Linked DNA regions of Arabidopsis thaliana. The protein of the gene in region 2 interacts with the protein of the main gene of each other region in a pairwise test. Each region holds a gene or a part of one and is shown on either strand. Other genes may lie near its edges.

Evidence for each region.
Region 1: the proteins of AT1G22490 (region 2) and B70 interact in a two-hybrid assay, tested with the Arabidopsis thaliana proteins (one large-scale study listed by BioGRID).
Region 3: the proteins of AT1G22490 (region 2) and AT3G20640 interact in a two-hybrid assay, tested with the Arabidopsis thaliana proteins (one large-scale study listed by BioGRID).
Region 4: the proteins of AT1G22490 (region 2) and AT5G61590 interact in a two-hybrid assay, tested with the Arabidopsis thaliana proteins (one large-scale study listed by BioGRID).

What each region holds. Positions count from the first base shown.
Region 1 is NC_003075.7:11,351,090-11,355,452, forward strand, and holds B70 (basic helix-loop-helix (bHLH) DNA-binding superfamily protein), read left to right. Parts: upstream 1-1,868; 5' UTR 1,869-1,974; coding exon 1,975-2,225; intron 2,226-2,320; coding exon 2,321-2,540; intron 2,541-2,628; coding exon 2,629-2,727; intron 2,728-2,862; coding exon 2,863-2,928; intron 2,929-3,063; coding exon 3,064-3,129; intron 3,130-3,226; coding exon 3,227-3,283; intron 3,284-3,392; coding exon 3,393-3,539; 3' UTR 3,540-3,735; downstream 3,736-4,363.
Region 2 is NC_003070.9:7,938,074-7,942,843, reverse strand, and holds AT1G22490 (basic helix-loop-helix (bHLH) DNA-binding superfamily protein), read left to right. Parts: upstream 1-2,218; 5' UTR 2,219-2,354; coding exon 2,355-2,792; intron 2,793-3,258; coding exon 3,259-3,801; 3' UTR 3,802-4,247; downstream 4,248-4,770.
Region 3 is NC_003074.8:7,209,732-7,215,416, reverse strand, and holds AT3G20640 (basic helix-loop-helix (bHLH) DNA-binding superfamily protein), read left to right. Parts: upstream 1-1,942; 5' UTR 1,943-2,217; coding exon 2,218-2,447; exon of another isoform or gene 2,448-2,499; coding exon of another isoform or gene 2,500-2,543; coding exon 2,544-3,231; intron 3,232-3,314; coding exon 3,315-3,431; intron 3,432-3,823; coding exon 3,824-3,886; intron 3,887-4,126; coding exon 4,127-4,192; coding exon of another isoform or gene 4,193-4,201; exon of another isoform or gene 4,202-4,308; coding exon 4,309-4,359; coding exon of another isoform or gene 4,360-4,371; exon of another isoform or gene 4,372-4,613; coding exon 4,614-4,763; 3' UTR 4,764-5,107; downstream 5,108-5,685.
Region 4 is NC_003076.8:24,763,576-24,767,467, reverse strand, and holds AT5G61590 (Integrase-type DNA-binding superfamily protein), read left to right. Parts: upstream 1-1,956; 5' UTR 1,957-2,209; coding exon 2,210-2,815; 3' UTR 2,816-3,212; downstream 3,213-3,892. Other genes in the region: ERF104 (ethylene response factor 104), read left to right, coding at 100-825; PFK4 (phosphofructokinase 4), read right to left, coding at 3,641-3,808.

The DNA.
Region 1 (4,363 bases), on a different chromosome or scaffold from region 2:
TCAAAACTATTCAATAGAGCCAAAATCAAAAGACATTTTCCTAACCTATTAACTATTTTTTTATAAAAATAATAATATACCTTTATCATCTCTGACTTTCCCTACTCCACGACATATTTGATTAACAATATAAAATAATTTATAGTTTCCACTCTCAATGAAATAAAACGATGGACCGTTTCCTCATGTCAAATGAATCAAATCAACAATCTCTATATAGTCTTAAGAATGTTGGTCTTAAAATTCTATTGAACTCAAATCGTATGAAAACAAGTTAAATTGTATATAAACAGAAAAACCAGTGAAGGTTGATTAATTAATAATTTACTTGGTTAAATTCTTCTTATTGAAGTTGGTGTACTGTAACCTAAGTCACTCGAAGTCTACAAATATTTAATATATCTATTGACTAAAAATATTAAAATAATTTGCTGAGTCAAACCATATGACATGAGCACATATTTTGGGAATCTTTCTAAATTTAAAGATCAAACCTAAAATAACCCAAATGGATTGGAGGGGACGGTCTGACTTAATCCATTTATACATTTATACAGTTGTTTGTTAGTGATTATATCCGAATATCAACAATTCATTTTAATAAATTTCAGAAAGTAAAAATATATATTTTAATCATGTCCATTACAAAACAAAAATTATAATTAAAGAAAGTCTTCATTCTTTGGTGAATGCATATATGGTATACGTCTTATTAACTACTTCTTTTCAAATAGTTGTATTAATTTATATTTTCTGTTCAATTAGGGAAAAAAAACTTATTTCGATAACTCTCTTTTTGTTGTCATATCCATATATAAAGCACAATGAAACTCAATTAAGTGTAATCCTAATTCCTATAAGTTATGATATCATTTGGAGAGGCTTGAAGCAAAACCAATAAGCTATTTTCTCCAAAGAGCAAGATTGATCTAAATCCATATATTTCAAAAAAAATTTGTTTACAATGTAAATCCATATTTGTTTGAAGTTTTTACATTTTTTTTTAAAGAGTCGACACGTAGGTCAGATATGCGCACGTAACTGTGTACAAACAAAAGACGTCCGGAGTCGTATAGATCAAAACGAGGCCAGCCAACAACTACCCTTTTGCGATGGATTTGGTAACGCTGACTTTCTTTTCCTTGTACGTATTCATCGACCATCCCAAAAATGAGATTATTTTTTGGACGACAAACATATTCTTTCTATATTGACATATATAACTGTGACGTCATTTTTGTTTTTAATTATTTGAATCAGTAAACCCCCAAAACAGTAGTTAATAAATATGCATTGCTATACAAATATACAATTTGCAAGTAAAATAAATACCATATCCGTACGATGACTTAATTAAAAATATATTCACATTATTTGTTTAACTAAAATTTTATTACTTTTTTCCCCTTGACAAGTTAATACTTCAACTGCGTTCAACACATAAAAATAAATAAATAAATATATATACTTCAACATATATCAAACATTTTAGTATTACCATCCCATATCAAAGAGTAAGAAAAGTAGTAATTATGATGATAGTAAGAAATTAACTCTGTTTTACAATGTTTGAGAAGATAGGGTCACAACTCACAAACTCACATGTACATCAAAGTTTTTATTTGATTAACCAAAATCAAAACTAAACTTTACATTGTACGTACGTTGGTAAAAAAAATTTGTCATCTTTTAATTACTTAATTTGCTTGACCTAACTTCCTATCGACTACTCTGATAAACATACATTATCTAAATAATTAATAGATTAATTAGGGAAGTACCAATAACATATAAAACTCTTGTACAAAACTTTTTTTTAACAAATATTATAACTTTGTTAGTTGACTTAAACCTCATCGCTACATATAAATACAATCCCCATCATCAACATCATTACTGTCTCATGCAAACTCTGACACTTACGAAGAAATAAGTCTACACAAACTAAACCATTGTCTACGTAACCAACAAAACATGACAGAAGAATTCGACACTACGGGAGTTTGTACCGGAACATGGTGGAGCTCCTCCAACGGCATGTTCTCAGGCTGTTCTCTGCCACGTTCCGCGGAGATTGTTGTCGATTTTGGTGAGATTGAATGGCAAAACATTGATACCCTTGATGCCAAAACTTACAACGAGAACTACCTTAGTACTTCCACATTCTTAGGCAATGCAAATCTTGATACCACATCACAAATCTACGTTTCGAGTCCATCTAACATGTAAGTCCATTTATCATCTTACGTGACGTATAACGTAAAATCATGATCTTTGTTCCTGAATCCTGACATTCTTTTTCTTTTCTCTTTTTTACCAGCCATGAAGAAGAACGATACAATCAGATAAATAGTTTTCTAGAAGGATTGTTTGATTCTAGTGAGCAATTATTGGTTCCTAACTGTCCCAAACCAGAACTATTCGAAAGCTTTCACTTCTTTGATGACGTTTTCCCGAACGAATCAAGAATGATATCAGTATTTGATCACCAAAAACCCAAGGAAGACATGCAAGCTTGCAAGAGTCTGACTACATGCAAGGTGGGCAAATCTATTTAATTAGTTTCTTTTAATAGAGATATTTTACAATATTTCTGTAGATTTTGACATTGTGACCAATTATTTTTAGAGAGCAAGTGAGAAAAGTGGAGAACTCGAAGATATTGAGTCATCACAGCCATTAAAAAGGCCAAGACTTGAGACACCATCTCATTTTCCGAGCTTCAAAGTTAGTAACAAATGATCTTACTACAGTTTTCAAGGATTGTCATTTATCACTAAAAAAAGTTAGTTATGCTAAGAAACACATACCCATGCACAAACTATTGCTGATATTTTTCCAAAAACTATTTTGATTGATAAGGTTCGTAAAGAGAAACTCGGAGATCGAATTACCGCGCTTCAACAGTTAGTTTCACCCTTTGGCAAGGTTTGTGTTCATCATGAATTCATGATCTGTTATATTGATATCTCTACTATATATTATCCATACATAATTACGAAATTTTTTTAGCTACTTCTGTTTTCAAATTTATTTATTATTATTTTGTGATGATTTTTACAGACAGACACTGCTTCTGTCCTCCATGATGCTATAGATTACATCAAGTTTCTACAAGAACAAATCACTGTAAGTTGATAATCTCTCAAATATGAAATACTACTACTAATTAATTGTTGGTTTTAGTTAACTGTTATATTTATTCTTTTTATAATCATTTAAATAGGAAAAGGTCTCTACTAGTCCACACCTGAACTCTATAGGATCTGGTGAACAGAAGCAGGTACTTAACTTAGTTAACGGTTAAACAACTCTATAATCTAAAATCAATTAAGTAGTTTGATTTTTGTTCTTTTGCTTATGATCATTAATAAGATTCTTTCAATTTCTAGTGGTCAGACAAATCAAGCAATAATACTCATAATCAAAATTGTAGTCCAAGACAAGATCTTCGAAGCCGCGGTCTTTGTCTGATGCCGATCTCAAGTACTTTCTCCACTCCTCCGCAGCATTTGGACACATCTAGTTTGTGGAATTAGACTCTTATACTGAATCAAAAATGTAACATTAGTACATTACACATGAAAACTCATAGATTAGTTTTGTTCTAAGAACTGTAAAGTCTGGTGTTAATTTGTGTATAAAATGTGATGTCTCGTTCCATTACTTCCTACAAATTTAGAGCCTACTTCGTGGAATGGCCGAAAGATTAGATAATTTGTGTTTCTTTTTTTGCTGTTTTATCAATCAATACTATTTTATTGAGTATGTTCACTTTTTCTGTTATTTTTTTATTTTTTGGTAAACCACTTATTCTGTCATATTAAAGACAAAAAATTTTTAAAAAAATTGGTCTTAATTTAATGATTTATTCTCACAATATCGTGATTCCACTACACATTATTTAATTTCCACACTCTGTAATAATACCAGTCACAGTCAGAATCTTATAAAGGTATATAGAATATTGTGGATTTTTAAAAAGGATTAGGAAGACAAATTAGATGATTTTTTGTCAACTATAAATTAGGTAATTAATATCTCCATTAAGGAGATCTTTAATTAGAAAAACAATCACTTTAATAAAGCAGCTCTTTTCATAGTACTCAAAGGCTACACACGACTCTGTCTTGTTTTGTTTGTGTGTCCTCAAATCAAGGCATATGATTGAATAAGAAACATAAAGCAGTGATATTTCAGCACTGTTTTCTATAAAAAAAAGAGCACGAGTGTTAAAAAAAAAACAAATAACCCATCTTTTTGTGAAGGAACATTAAATCATTGTGGAGAGAATTCAACAGAGACCATGTGCTTTTGGTACGAGCACGCCACAACTGAATTGAAAACAAAAACCTAAATCGAG
Region 2 (4,770 bases):
TTACTTTTTTCAGAAAAGAAAAAACATCTCTTTAAACGTCTGCATCAAAAACAAAACTCTGCTATGATCGATAGAAAATAAATATCACTCGTGCGAAAATATCTACATGTTAAACGATGAACTAAAATGATTAAAAAGTAATAAACATAAAGGATGATCGAAACAAATTTTTAAATATTAAATAATAATCGACCAATTAATTTTGAGTTTGATGATGTACAAATAACATTAGGTACACGTATTCAAAGGAGACAAGATTACTATAGCTTAAATTCAATTTGAAGTGCATACAACAAGATTCTTTGTATCATCATGAAAAGTTTGTCCTGCAGTTTTATGTTCACATATTATTTATTTTTTCGGCAAATTGGTTCAGATTTTAAGATTCCAAGTGTCCGACCAAATTTGATTACAAAACGCAGCCTAGTCACATCTATCTAATTCTTTAAATTTTGTTTTCATATCAAAATTGATTTCTACTATTATATATTCCCAGAGTGATTAGATCAGAATAATCAAAAGATGCCACCTAATTTATATACATAACTTTTTTGGTTTTTGATGTTGAAAAGTAGTGACAAAAGATTTTTAATAGACCATCATTTTATAACATGCAAGTAAATATCTCGATTTAAATATATTTTTAATAACATCACGAAACAAATTTGTTAAAACCTGACATAAAGTGATCCCCACCGGCCAAAATAAATCTTCTATTGGTTGTGTATTTTCTGACAAACATTTGTTTTAAAGATTTTTAATTTTAATCGGATACTTAACCATATATTTGATATGGAAATACATTATATTTTTGTTTAAAGTAAAATAATAGAACATGAGTGTAACTAGACGACCCCCAACCTGCAAACAGATTATTTGGTCTTGTGGACTGGTCTACTACTATCTCACGTGCAAACTTGACGCTGCAATGTATACATTTATCTATATGCATCTATGTATCTAAATAGTAATTAGTAACCATAGATAATGGATCTAATTCCACGAAGTTGGATAGATATTCTAAGGTAATATCTGGTAGAATTTTAATTTTCAAACCAAAAAAATTGTTACCAGATGTGAATGCGTAGAACTAAAAATTAATTGGCGTAGACCGTCCTAACTGGAAACTCAAATAACTTTGTTTACAAGTAGCATGTAACTGTATATATATAATGCTTTAGAATTTTTATGGTCCAATTGAAAATTTCACATTTTCGTTTTATTGTATCACTCACTTGTCCGACTGACGTAGAATTGCACGTCTTAATTTTTTTTTGGCGAAAACGCTAATCCGCAACAAAAAAATTTGTTAAAGTAGTCCGTAACTTTTTTTTTGGTTAAAGTAATCCGCAACATGACATATTAGTACTAACGAACTATTGTTTTTTCTATTAATTTTTTGCTATATTTAGAATTTTAAGTAGTTTAGCCATCACCATCTGTGTATCCTTACACTATACATATTCGGAAAAACTCGAAAGAGGTTTTAACTGGTTATGATCACCACCAGCAGTCCAGCACCAGTTTTCTTTCACTCGAACGTCAATATAAATTCACTGCCCACTATATCAGCTTTACCATTTCTTAATAAATTATTTATTATTTATTTGATTTTGAACTAAGAAAGATTATGGGTTTTTAGGAATAGTTCCAAACAATTAACATCTTAATAATAAAATTACTATATAATAAAACTAATTTATATTAAAAACATTATGAACAATTTTTTTCTTTATTTTCTTAACCTCTAATTATTATGAACAAGTTATTTAAATACAATTGGGATGATTATTACAAGTGCACTTTATATCTCCTTTTCAGTGTTTTTTATATATATATTGGTGACAAATACATCTTTTCTTTAGTTTTATTTTTCTTTTCGTTTTTGATCTCTGCGGGAGCATTTATTTTTGGTCAACTGTGAGAGCATCAAAAAAAAAAAAAAAAAAATTAATAGCCTCACAAAGCTTCTCTCAATTCCCTTTTTAAATAAATCACACCACTTTGTTTGATCCTCATATTTCGGTTTTCACTCTCATATCTTTCTTTTGTATATTTATTTTTGTTGAAGATTCACTCTCCTATTCTTCCTCCATGCCGGTGAGTTCTTGAGAATTTAATATTTTGTAAATCAATTTACAAAAAATCTTCATATAACTAATACCATGCTTAGTTTCCTTTAGTGGGCTTAACCCTTTTGCCTTTATTTCCCCCTCGAGACAAAAAGGAGAGCGACAAACACTTCCTGTCTAAATTTTGTTTTCTCTCCTTCTCTCTCCCTCTCTCGGTTTCTCAATCTTTCTTATTTTTTCCATAATTCTGAATTTTTCTTTTCAACAATCTCCGGCTAAAAAATGCCCTTAGAGGCTGTCGTATACCCGCAAGATCCATTCGGATATCTCTCCAATTGCAAAGATTTTATGTTCCACGACTTATACTCTCAAGAAGAGTTCGTAGCTCAAGATACGAAGAACAACATTGATAAGTTAGGGCATGAACAGAGCTTTGTGGAACAAGGTAAGGAGGACGATCATCAATGGCGAGACTATCATCAGTATCCTTTGTTGATCCCTTCGTTGGGAGAAGAGCTTGGTCTTACCGCCATTGATGTGGAGAGTCATCCTCCTCCACAGCACCGGAGGAAGAGGAGGAGAACGAGAAACTGCAAGAACAAGGAAGAGATCGAGAACCAGAGAATGACTCACATCGCCGTCGAGAGAAATCGCCGGAAACAGATGAACGAGTATCTGGCTGTGCTCCGTTCTCTAATGCCGTCGTCGTATGCTCAAAGAGTAACTTACTAATTCAATGTTTATATATGCTATATATCATTTGGTCAGGGTCATTCTTAGGTATATGTGTCTTTGTTTTATTACTTGCTTGGCTGTAGTACTCATTTCTCCATAATATATTAACACAAAAGAATAGAATGAAAATGACTGAGAATATATATTGATGTTTTTATACAATATATTAACAAGAAAATCCACCGTAAATATGGAAGGGTGACGCGTTTATATACATACTAATAATCTTTGCTGTTACATATTTTAATGTATTTTTTAAAATAAAATATTATGTGTCACCAAAAATTAGAACGAGTATGATTGAGAATATTGGGATATGTTTTAGAACAATTTCGTAATAAACTTAAGCAATTAGCAATGATACGTGTGTGTGTATATTTATACATTCAAAGATTTTTTCAATCTTTATGATAACTATATGATCTGACATGAGCGGGTTTTGGTGGTAAAGGGAGATCAAGCGTCGATAGTAGGAGGAGCTATAAACTACGTGAAGGAGTTAGAGCATATTTTACAATCTATGGAGCCGAAGAGAACTAGGACTCATGATCCCAAAGGAGACAAGACTAGCACTAGCTCGTTAGTGGGTCCATTCACAGATTTTTTCAGCTTCCCACAATATTCTACAAAGTCATCATCAGATGTACCGGAAAGCTCATCTTCACCGGCGGAGATAGAGGTTACGGTGGCAGAAAGCCATGCGAACATCAAGATAATGACGAAGAAGAAACCGAGGCAGCTTCTTAAGCTCATAACTTCTTTACAAAGCCTAAGGCTCACTCTTCTTCATCTCAATGTCACCACTCTCCACAACTCCATTCTCTACTCCATCAGCGTCAGGGTACGTACATTTTCAACTTCTCATCATTACTTTGTTTGCTTTTGGGGTAATCATGAGATTAAAGTGAGTAATGACTGTGTGTGTGGTGCATATGGTTTCACTTTGTTGATTTATTTTTTTGTCTCTTATTGTTGGGGGGAAATTTTGGATTAGTACTATTGTGGTTATGCCTGGGCTTTAAAAAGGTTGTGAAGAAAAATTAAAATCATTCTCTTTGTTTTTTTCTTACCTCCTTTGGGTACTTAGGGCTGGGGCCTCAATAGTTGTGGGTCAAACTCATAATCATCATTTTGATTATTATTTTTGTCAATAATAAATTGCGTATCTTAATCGTGCCTGTAAGAATCAGGGGACCAACCTAAAGAAACGAAACACGAATATGTGTCTATCTATATCCACGAATTGTATACGTGGTGTTGTGTATTTATATATGTTTATGTATATGTTTATGTACTGTGGATATATGTTCGGTGGTCACATAATTGTAGATGAGATATGTACGGACAACGAAGTGAGTCCACCATTTGTTTCAGGAGATATTTAGCAAATAGAAAGATATTTTGTTATAGTTATCTACATCCTTCTAATTTTGTTTGTTGCAACTTTTTTCAAGAATTGTTATGTATATCTTTATTTCTTAAGAGAAAATGTGTTGGTTCAGGTTGAAGAAGGAAGCCAACTGAATACCGTGGACGACATTGCAACAGCTTTGAATCAAACCATAAGGAGGATTCAAGAAGAGACATAATTCAGCAAATAGATTATAATTAACTTGTTTTATTTTTATTTTATTTTGAAATAACTGAAATCAGTTTTCTAATTTTTTTTTTTTTTCACTATTCCTCTAATCCTCCCTATGTAAGTTGCATTTTTGTCTCTTGTAATGAATCAATGGTCATAAAGATCTGAACAAAAAAATTGAATAAAAGAAAATGGTTTAAGTCGATAAGTATGTGACATTGGGCGCTAATAGCCGTTAGGCCTACGCCTAATGTACTTCTCAGTGTTTTTAGGGTTGTGTTTAGTGTATAATTATAATGATTAATAGTATGATTGATTAATTTTTGAATTTATTTTCTTCAAAGATGAATTCGTCTTTTTCTAGAACTTTTAAAGTTTGTG
Region 3 (5,685 bases), on a different chromosome or scaffold from region 2:
GGGGTGATGGATCCAACGTATACCAACGGTTTTTGGACGGCGAAAAAATAGCATTTGAAGAGCATGTCGTGTGACACAATCTGGTAAATAATTCTATTAATTGATGGAGACATAACCAATGTAAAGACAATTTGGAAACAAGTTTATTCCATTGTCGTCTATCGTTTTTTTTTCTCCTTGAGCAGTAACACTAGCTAGTTTTTGTAGTGCAGTAGTCAATGTATAGAGTAATGTTGTAAGCAATGCAATTGGATTTTGAACTATTTGACTTGGAGCAAATTAAAATGCGTAGATCATGATGAGTTAATCCATAGTGGTCTAATAAAAAATAGAGCTAAGCAGTAAATTCAAATAGTCACTACTCACGAGCTCAAGTTACATGGGTGAATTTGCAATGGAATCTTTCATTTTCTTGTAAATGTTGCACGTTAAAAAATGGTGGTATTCTTCTTCTTCTTCTTCAAATTATAAGATCACCAACTCAATGGAATGTTGCCGTGGAACTATTGTGTCTCCAATGGCAATCAACTTTTAATAAGTAAGTAATCGTTAGTACTTCGCTTGTAATGTTATTTTAGAGAAATGAACAATCAACACCCCCATTCATTTTTCTTGAATCAATGTAAACTTATATTCAACTCCAAAAAAAGTATTTTGTAAATTATATTCAACACCCCATTCTAAAAGGTAAATTACACCACCAAACCCACATTTTCGATTATTTTGGTTTGTAAACAATTATTCGAATGGTTTTATTTATAAATCGGGTAAGATGGATTCAGTAACTCCAAAATGATTCCAATGTATCTTCAATGAATTTAACATTACAAAAAAAAAAAAAAAATGATTCCAATGTATTAAGAATGTAATGTTTTAGACAGAAACAGGATCATGCAAACTGTAAAAAAAAAAAATTTGCGGTTGTAAGAGAAGAAAGTACGTATGTGATATATTGTTTGACTATATAGAAATTACAAACACTAATGCGAATATTAACAGCAAAATTCAATATCAATATATATGACTTCTTTTTTTTTGGTCGAGCTCGTTGAGAATTGGAAAATGAGAAGAGACAAACGTTAGGCAAAAGAAAATGATTAGGGAGACGACCAGTGAATAAAACACAAATTATATACAATTAATCTTCTAAAAAGTTAAGAGAGAAAATTACCGTAATTAACATTAAGAATAAAAGATGCCGAAAAGAAAAACAAAAAGATTTTTTAAAAAGAAAAGAAAAGAGAAGAGTCATATTCAGGCTCTGACTCTGAGACGAAACAAGTGGGGTCCAAGTGTGAAAGCACGCGCGCACGCCACGTGGAGCCCACTCGTTGACTTGCTGTGACTGGAAAAAAATAAACGCTGAAGTTTCATAGCCAAACTCAAAGGCCAAAATATTAAAATGAATAGAATTATTTTAAAAATATCTCAGTGGTTTGTGACTATGACTGTGACCGTGACTGTGACCCGCTCCTTCTAGTCCATCCTTGGTCTCTCTTGCTTAAAATAAGTCAAATCCATTTCAACCTCCTTTTTTATCCCAAAAATCTATCTACAAAGTCAATTTGTATTTCCTCATTAGCTAGTGTTTTACTTCTCAATGTGAAATACTTAAATCTAGATTTATTTTGTTTTCCTATCAAGTATCAATCATTACTAGTTAATGAATTAAAAGGTTGTTACATTTACATTCACTAAATTGAAGGATGTTAATACAAAATATATTTTACAAAATGTTGTTATTGTATCATTGCGAGTAGGGTGACCAAAAAATAAATTAAATTATAAAGAGTGATATAATATATGCTTGCAAAATGAATAAAAGGAAACTTTACCAAAATATAAAGGAAAGTAGGAGAAATGAAATACTTATTCTTTTTAGTTGTAACCAATGGAAAAATCAACAATATCTTTAGTAAAACAAAAACAGAAGTTGGGAATGACGTGGGCAAGAGAGTCAGCGAGAGCCACCTGAAAAAATGTCAACCAAACATTAATCGGATGTCTTCACTCTTCATAAATAGTTCACGAAAACCCTACCAGGAAAAAATATCCAATTTAAATTGATAAATATTTATAACTATAAGTATCTCTCTCGTGTGGATCCTCATCATTTCATGTAACCACAATCTGAGAAGACACAACAAATTAAGATCCAACATCAATACACACACACATATATATATATATATATATATAGTGAGAAAAAAAGAAGCTATGGGAGATCATCATGATTTCATCAACTCAGGAAGCTGGTGGAAAGTATCTTCTTCTTCTTCACCATCTTCTTCTTCTTCCATGAGAGCAAGCTCTATTGAATCTGGTGGTTCTGCTGTTTTCCATGATAAGCTTCATCATCATTCTTTAGCTACTGATCACCATCTTCAGATGATTGGTTTAGGACTTTCTTCACAATCACCTGTTGATCAATGGAACCAATCTCTCTTGTAAGTCTCAATTTTGTTTCTTTTTTTTTATTTGGTTTCAGTCATAAGATTTATGTGTTTTGTCTTTGTTTTCTTTTTCTTTGCGGGGAACAAAAGACGAGGAGATAGTAAAGCGGAGACAAGCTTTGGTGTGATGCTTCAAGAGAATCTCAATTTAGATGCCACTTCAAACGCAAACGCTAACACAACGTCATCCACATCTTCTTACCAGCTGCAAGAATCTGATTCCTCTCACCATCATCAAGCTTTGTGGCGAGATCCACAAAGCGATTTCAAACCGCAGATTTTAACGAGTGGTGGTAATCGCGGGTTTTTCTTAGATCATCAGTTCAGTCCTCATGGTAGCTCAAGTACCGACAGTAGCACAGTAACATGTCAAGGTTTCGCTGTTGACAACTCGTCAAACGCCATGTACGCAGCAACAACAACAACTCCTAATTCATCTTCCGGTATGTTTCATCATCAGCAAGCAGGTGGTTTTGGCTCTTCTGATCAACAACCGTCGAGGAATCATCAACAGTCATCTCTTGGCTATTCTCAGTTTGGATCATCCACCGGAAACTATGATCAAATGGCGTCAGCGTTACCATCGACTTGGTTTTTAAGATCTTCTCCGCCGCCAAAACCACACAGTCCTTTGAGATTCTCTAATAACGCAACGTTTTGGAACCCCGCGGCTGCGGGAAACGCCGGTGCTCCTCCTCCTCATGACGCGTCTTCTAACTTTTTCCCGGCGTTACAACCGCCGCAGATTCATCCGCAGAGTTTTGACGAACAACCAAAGGTATATATTTATAGCTACACGAACTACTTTATTTAGATTTATGGATATGATCTATATAATTTATATGTATTGGTTGGTCGTAGAATATATCGGAGATTAGAGATTCAAGTAGCAACGAAGTAAAGAGAGGAGGAAACGATCATCAGCCGGCGGCGAAAAGAGCTAAGAGCGAAGCAGCGTCTCCGTCACCAGCTTTCAAGGTATTTTGCTTTGTTGATATTATTTTTTAAATAAGGGGAAAATAAACAATAAAGCTTCTTTTTGGTATGAAAATAAAAGCATCTTTAACGACATTGAAATAAAACCAGCTTTCCATGGTTTTGCCAAAACAATCCGAATCTTTCTATTAAACAAAACCGAAACCCTAATTTGAACAATAAAATTAGGTTTATCATTTACCACCAAAGTATATGCATGATAGGATATTATGAAACATTCTTTTATTGCGAAGTTGTTTTATTTTATATCAAGAAAACAAACATTCTTCCCACAATTCTTGCATAATTGCTTATACTAGATCTCTTTAGTTTTTTTACTTCATAGTATTTTTTTTATAACAAGGATTTGTTTTGATAAAATTTTGCTGAATTAGAGGAAAGAGAAAATGGGGGACAGAATCGCTGCGCTCCAACAATTGGTTTCACCTTTCGGAAAGGTACTATCTCTCTCTCTCTCATTGTCTGCAAATTTTTGCTTTACCTTTCAGAAAGATGATGAGTGTGTATTAGTATATTTGTATACTGTCATTATTACTTATCATGTTATTGTTATTATATCTTTATGGATTTATTTTATATGTAAGGTCTATTTCAATAGATATTTATGTTGGAGATGAATGAATGATATACCATTTCTTAGATTTTGTTTTACTGAATCTCATGTGCTTTTGTGTCAGACTGATGCAGCCTCAGTGCTCTCTGAAGCCATTGAATACATTAAGTTCTTACACCAACAAGTTTCTGTAAGTTAGCCCACTCCTTCGTATTTTTAGTACACAAACATTTTCTGCTACAGTTTAGTTAGTTATTGTATTTCTTCTACTGATGTACAACAAACCTGCAAATGATTATAACTCAGGCTCTGAGCAACCCATACATGAAAAGTGGAGCTTCTTTACAACATCAACAGGTAATATTTTAATTATATAATTTTATGTATACATTATTAAACCATTATCATACTGTTATTATTATTATACCATTGAATAAACGTATGGCTCTCGTTCGCATTCTTTATTACATGTATTTAATATGGTTGCTTCATCTTTAAGATTGGACAATAAAGCATTATTCCAAGAAACAATGTAGCGAGACGGTTTTTGCAACGAAAAAAGAAATCATTTGCAACTTATATTTTTTCTTTGTTTTCTAATGATGATGCAGAGTGATCATTCCACAGAGCTAGAAGTATCAGAAGAACCAGATCTTAGAAGTCGAGGTTTATGCTTAGTGCCAGTTTCAAGCACATTTCCAGTGACACACGATACTACAGTAGATTTCTGGACTCCTACATTTGGTGGGACTTTTAGATAGATATATAGACGGAAAATCGTATATTAGATGTCGGGTAACGTACGTATCTTTTTTAACTTATAATATATACGTTGATTGCTGATAAGAATCACCGCATTTTTAAACGAAGAGGAGATAAGTTAATGGACAAGTGAAACGTGTTGTCCATTTATACTTCTTATTCATAGAACTAAAAAATAATGTGTAATTGAAGAACCATGCATAGATATATAAGAGCTATTGAGATTTGACATGTATTTTTTCACACGACCAAATTAATTCCAAACATATATCTATAGGTTTTTTTGGGGGGTTATAATAGTTATGTATGAAAGATAGATGTTTTTTTTTTTTTTTTTTTTTTTTTTTTTTAACATTACCTTCATTTATAAAACGAAATCGAATACACACCGCCTCCAAAACGAGTAACACCTACAAAACAACAAAGAAAAGTAAAACAAAGCATATGATCAAATAAAGAGACCGAACCAAGTGGCGAGGTACGATAAACCATTGGGGCCAATACGTTGAGCTCGTGAGAGAGGATCAAGATGAGTGCGAATAAGATTCTTTATCTCCATAATCAGTCCAGCAGCAGGTCTCGAAGAAGAAGTGTGCAGACGAGTGTTCCGTTCCCTCCAAAGAGTATAAACATTGATTCAGAGAAGAATAGATGTTATGTATGAAAGATAGATGTTAAGTTATTCGTTAGAGAAGAATGTAGGGATCTATAATGTAAGTATTGTCTTCATTGATTCAGAGAAGGAGAAAGGTGATTTAATTATGGAGAAAAGGAGCTTTTGTTTCTTCCTTTTTTTAGCTATTCTAATTTTTGAAAGGGAATAATTAGATTCCACGAATAAGAGAGAGTAATGTGTTAATATGCATATTTTGATTGGACAAGAGGAAAAAAATCTTGGGACAGATATATTTTTATAACTTT
Region 4 (3,892 bases), on a different chromosome or scaffold from region 2:
ACCACTATATAAGAAAGTCCGATTCCTCGTCACTCTTATTCCCACTTCCACACATACACATATACAACAGAGCAAGAGAGTCAATCAAGTAGAGTGAAGATGGCAACTAAACAAGAAGCTTTAGCCATCGATTTCATAAGCCAACACCTTCTCACAGACTTTGTTTCCATGGAAACTGATCACCCATCTCTTTTTACCAACCAACTTCACAACTTTCACTCAGAAACAGGCCCTAGAACCATCACCAACCAATCCCCTAAACCGAATTCGACTCTTAACCAGCGTAAACCGCCCTTACCGAATCTATCCGTCTCGAGAACGGTTTCAACAAAGACAGAGAAAGAGGAAGAAGAGAGGCACTACAGGGGAGTGAGACGAAGACCGTGGGGAAAATACGCGGCGGAGATTAGGGATCCGAACAAAAAGGGTTGTAGGATCTGGCTTGGGACTTACGACACTGCCGTGGAAGCTGGAAGAGCTTATGACCAAGCGGCGTTTCAATTACGTGGAAGAAAAGCAATCTTGAATTTCCCTCTCGATGTTAGGGTTACGTCAGAAACTTGTTCTGGGGAAGGAGTTATCGGATTAGGGAAACGAAAGCGAGATAAGGGTTCTCCGCCGGAAGAGGAGAAGGCGGCTAGGGTTAAAGTGGAGGAAGAAGAGAGTAATACGTCGGAGACGACGGAGGCTGAGGTTGAGCCGGTGGTACCATTGACGCCGTCAAGTTGGATGGGGTTTTGGGATGTGGGAGCAGGAGATGGTATTTTCAGTATTCCTCCGTTATCTCCGACGTCTCCCAACTTTTCCGTTATCTCCGTCACTTAAAACTTCGGAAAAGTCAACGTACGATGACGTTTTCACTTGCGTCACTCTCATGATTTCATTTATTCTTGTATAATATAAAGGTAGCGGTAGTGTGCAAATATCAAATAAGTAGTTTAATTAGTACCAATCATTTTATTCATTATTTTTTTTAGTAGAATATTTGGATGTTGAAAATATAAATTTAATTTTGTATTTGTTGATGTTATAAATTTATTGATTGTATAAACATTCTTAGTCATCAGTTTCGTTAAGTCCATATCTAAACACTTCATATCTGCTAAATAGTCAATAGATTATAAAATTGGATCAGGAAAAAGTAAATCGGAGCTATAAAAAAATAGTGTGCAACGAAAAGACAATTAATTAGTTAAAAATACATACAAATCTAAACAAATTCAAAATTTCAATAGTGGAAAACACCAATCAAATGGATAATGCTGTCGAAGATTATCTACAAAGCATCAATAAAAGTAAATAATTAATATTATCTTACATGCTATTATAAAAGATTATGAGATTAGGAGTATAATTGTCAAGCAACTGAGCAAGAGGGTAAGGTTTGGTTATTATATATGTGGAGCCCTATACGAAGTTATGTAGAAACAAAGAAATATCAAGTTGCTTCAAATCATATCCTAGCAAGACAACCCTACAAGACAAGCAATTTGATGAATTTGTCTCTCCTTTTTATTCGAGTGAAAGTCATTATCTTCTTATCTTTTTACTCGAATGTGAATATGCAAAATATCTTTTGATATTTAAGAGCTTACCTAGTGAGTCATTACTACTACGAAAATCATATATCAATCTTATCATAAAACTTTTAAGATAAAAAAAAAAAAGAAAAAACTTTTGAGAGATTGGCTTTTAAAGACTTAAGTTACGATTATAAACACTAGTAGTTCAAGTCTTTTTGGTTTTGGTTTGTGTTATGTTTTAGATTTAAAATTTCAAATGAACCTACGTCCTTAACCAACTCAATCAAAATTCTAGTTAAAAAAAATAATCACCATTTTGTTAGCATTCAGCTTAGGATTCGAACCATGGGTAGCTCAAGGTATTTTAAACTCTAGAGGAATAAAATGGATGTTAGTGAAATTTGTCAGCATCATAGACAAGATCAAGTTGGCACAACTTGAAGGGTCCTGACAAAATATCTTAAGTTGCCTCCATAAATGTTTAATGGATAAGACTTGGCCCCACAGAGTTAAACCAGAGAGACACAGAGAGAGACTTTTGACACCTCACCCATGGCTGCGTTAACACATGTTTAGGATTCCTTTCTTTATATAGCCAACAATATCATCAAAACTTTTTCTTCAAACACCACTTGCAGTTTTTCTTATTCTCCTGTCTTGTCTAAAGAAAAAAGAGAGAGGAAGAAATGGAGACTTTTGAGGAAAGCTCTGATTTGGATGTTATACAGAAACATCTATTTGAAGACTTGATGATCCCTGATGGTTTCATTGAAGATTTTGTCTTTGATGATACTGCTTTTGTCTCCGGACTCTGGTCTCTAGAACCCTTTAACCCAGTTCCGAAACTGGAACCTAGTTCACCTGTTCTTGATCCAGATTCCTATGTCCAAGAGATTCTGCAAATGGAAGCAGAATCATCATCATCATCATCAACAACAACGTCACCTGAGGTTGAGACTGTCTCAAACCGGAAAAAAACAAAGAGGTTTGAAGAAACGAGACATTACAGAGGCGTGAGAAGGAGGCCATGGGGGAAATTTGCAGCAGAGATTCGAGATCCGGCAAAGAAAGGATCCAGGATTTGGTTAGGCACTTTTGAGAGTGATATTGATGCTGCAAGGGCTTACGACTATGCAGCTTTTAAGCTCAGGGGAAGAAAAGCTGTTCTCAACTTTCCTTTGGATGCCGGAAAGTATGATGCTCCGGTCAATTCATGCCGAAAAAGGAGGAGAACCGATGTACCACAGCCTCAAGGAACAACAACAAGTACTTCATCATCGTCATCAAACTAATGGGGGAATAGTGATGTTTAATTAGTATATATAGGTTAATATCTTAAGTATGTGAAGCATCATGTATAGAGCCAAGAACCTGTTAGACTAGTGTACTGAAAAGAACTCTTGCAAAATATGTACTAAAGAGTTCCTGTAACAATGGAACTTCTGCGTTTTCTCTTGTCTTAAAGAGCTTAAGGTTCTAGAAACAAAGTTCTTGTCCTTTCGGTTTATTCAGAGTACACTATTTGGGAAGACAAGAGGACCTAAATCTATCGACTACATTTATTTATTAATCTACTGTGATACTTAAAATCGAATTTCTACCTGAAAGACCTTAACATAAGCCTTAAAGTTTCTCCAATGACACAAACAGTACCGTACAGTGGCTTCAGTATTCACTATTCGATATCACTGAGGTATTAATTAGTTCACATGTCCAGAAAGCGTGAATCAGTGAATTGAGTAGAAAGATGAACAAGTTGCAAGAGGGACCAAGTTTAAAGAATATAGCAGCCAGAGTTTTGTCTCATGGTTGGGTACAAGTCAGCATTCATTTTTTAAATATGACAAAGAATTGGATGGACCACACGCAACAGCTCAAGAGGGGAGAGATGCACAAGTTGCAATATGGAAAAGTAAACAGAGGAAGATATGTATTAACATCTCAACCTCATCGTTGAGATGGATGTTGATTATTATTATTAGGAATAACTAAAACCAAAGAATTCTTATAAGTTATAACAATGAAATTACTTCATGGTTTTTTGATAAAGATATCTCCTATGCATATATATCTAGTATACATTTGGAACAGTTGATGAATATCAACTGACCTGTTTCTTAGATAGAAGAGATCTTCATGTTATCGATCTTTTCTTGAGTTTCCATGTCGATCACATTCTGCAATGCTCCTTCACCAGTCAAGAAACTCGGTTGATTTGTCGATGCAAGGAGTCTAGCCCACATCCTATCAGTTAACTTCACCGTATTTGTCACTTCCGTCACCTGCTGCAGAAGTAAAAAATCATGGGATTAACTTTAACCACAAAGGTTTAGGACTCAATGATTTTAGTCTAAGAATGATTAGAGAAG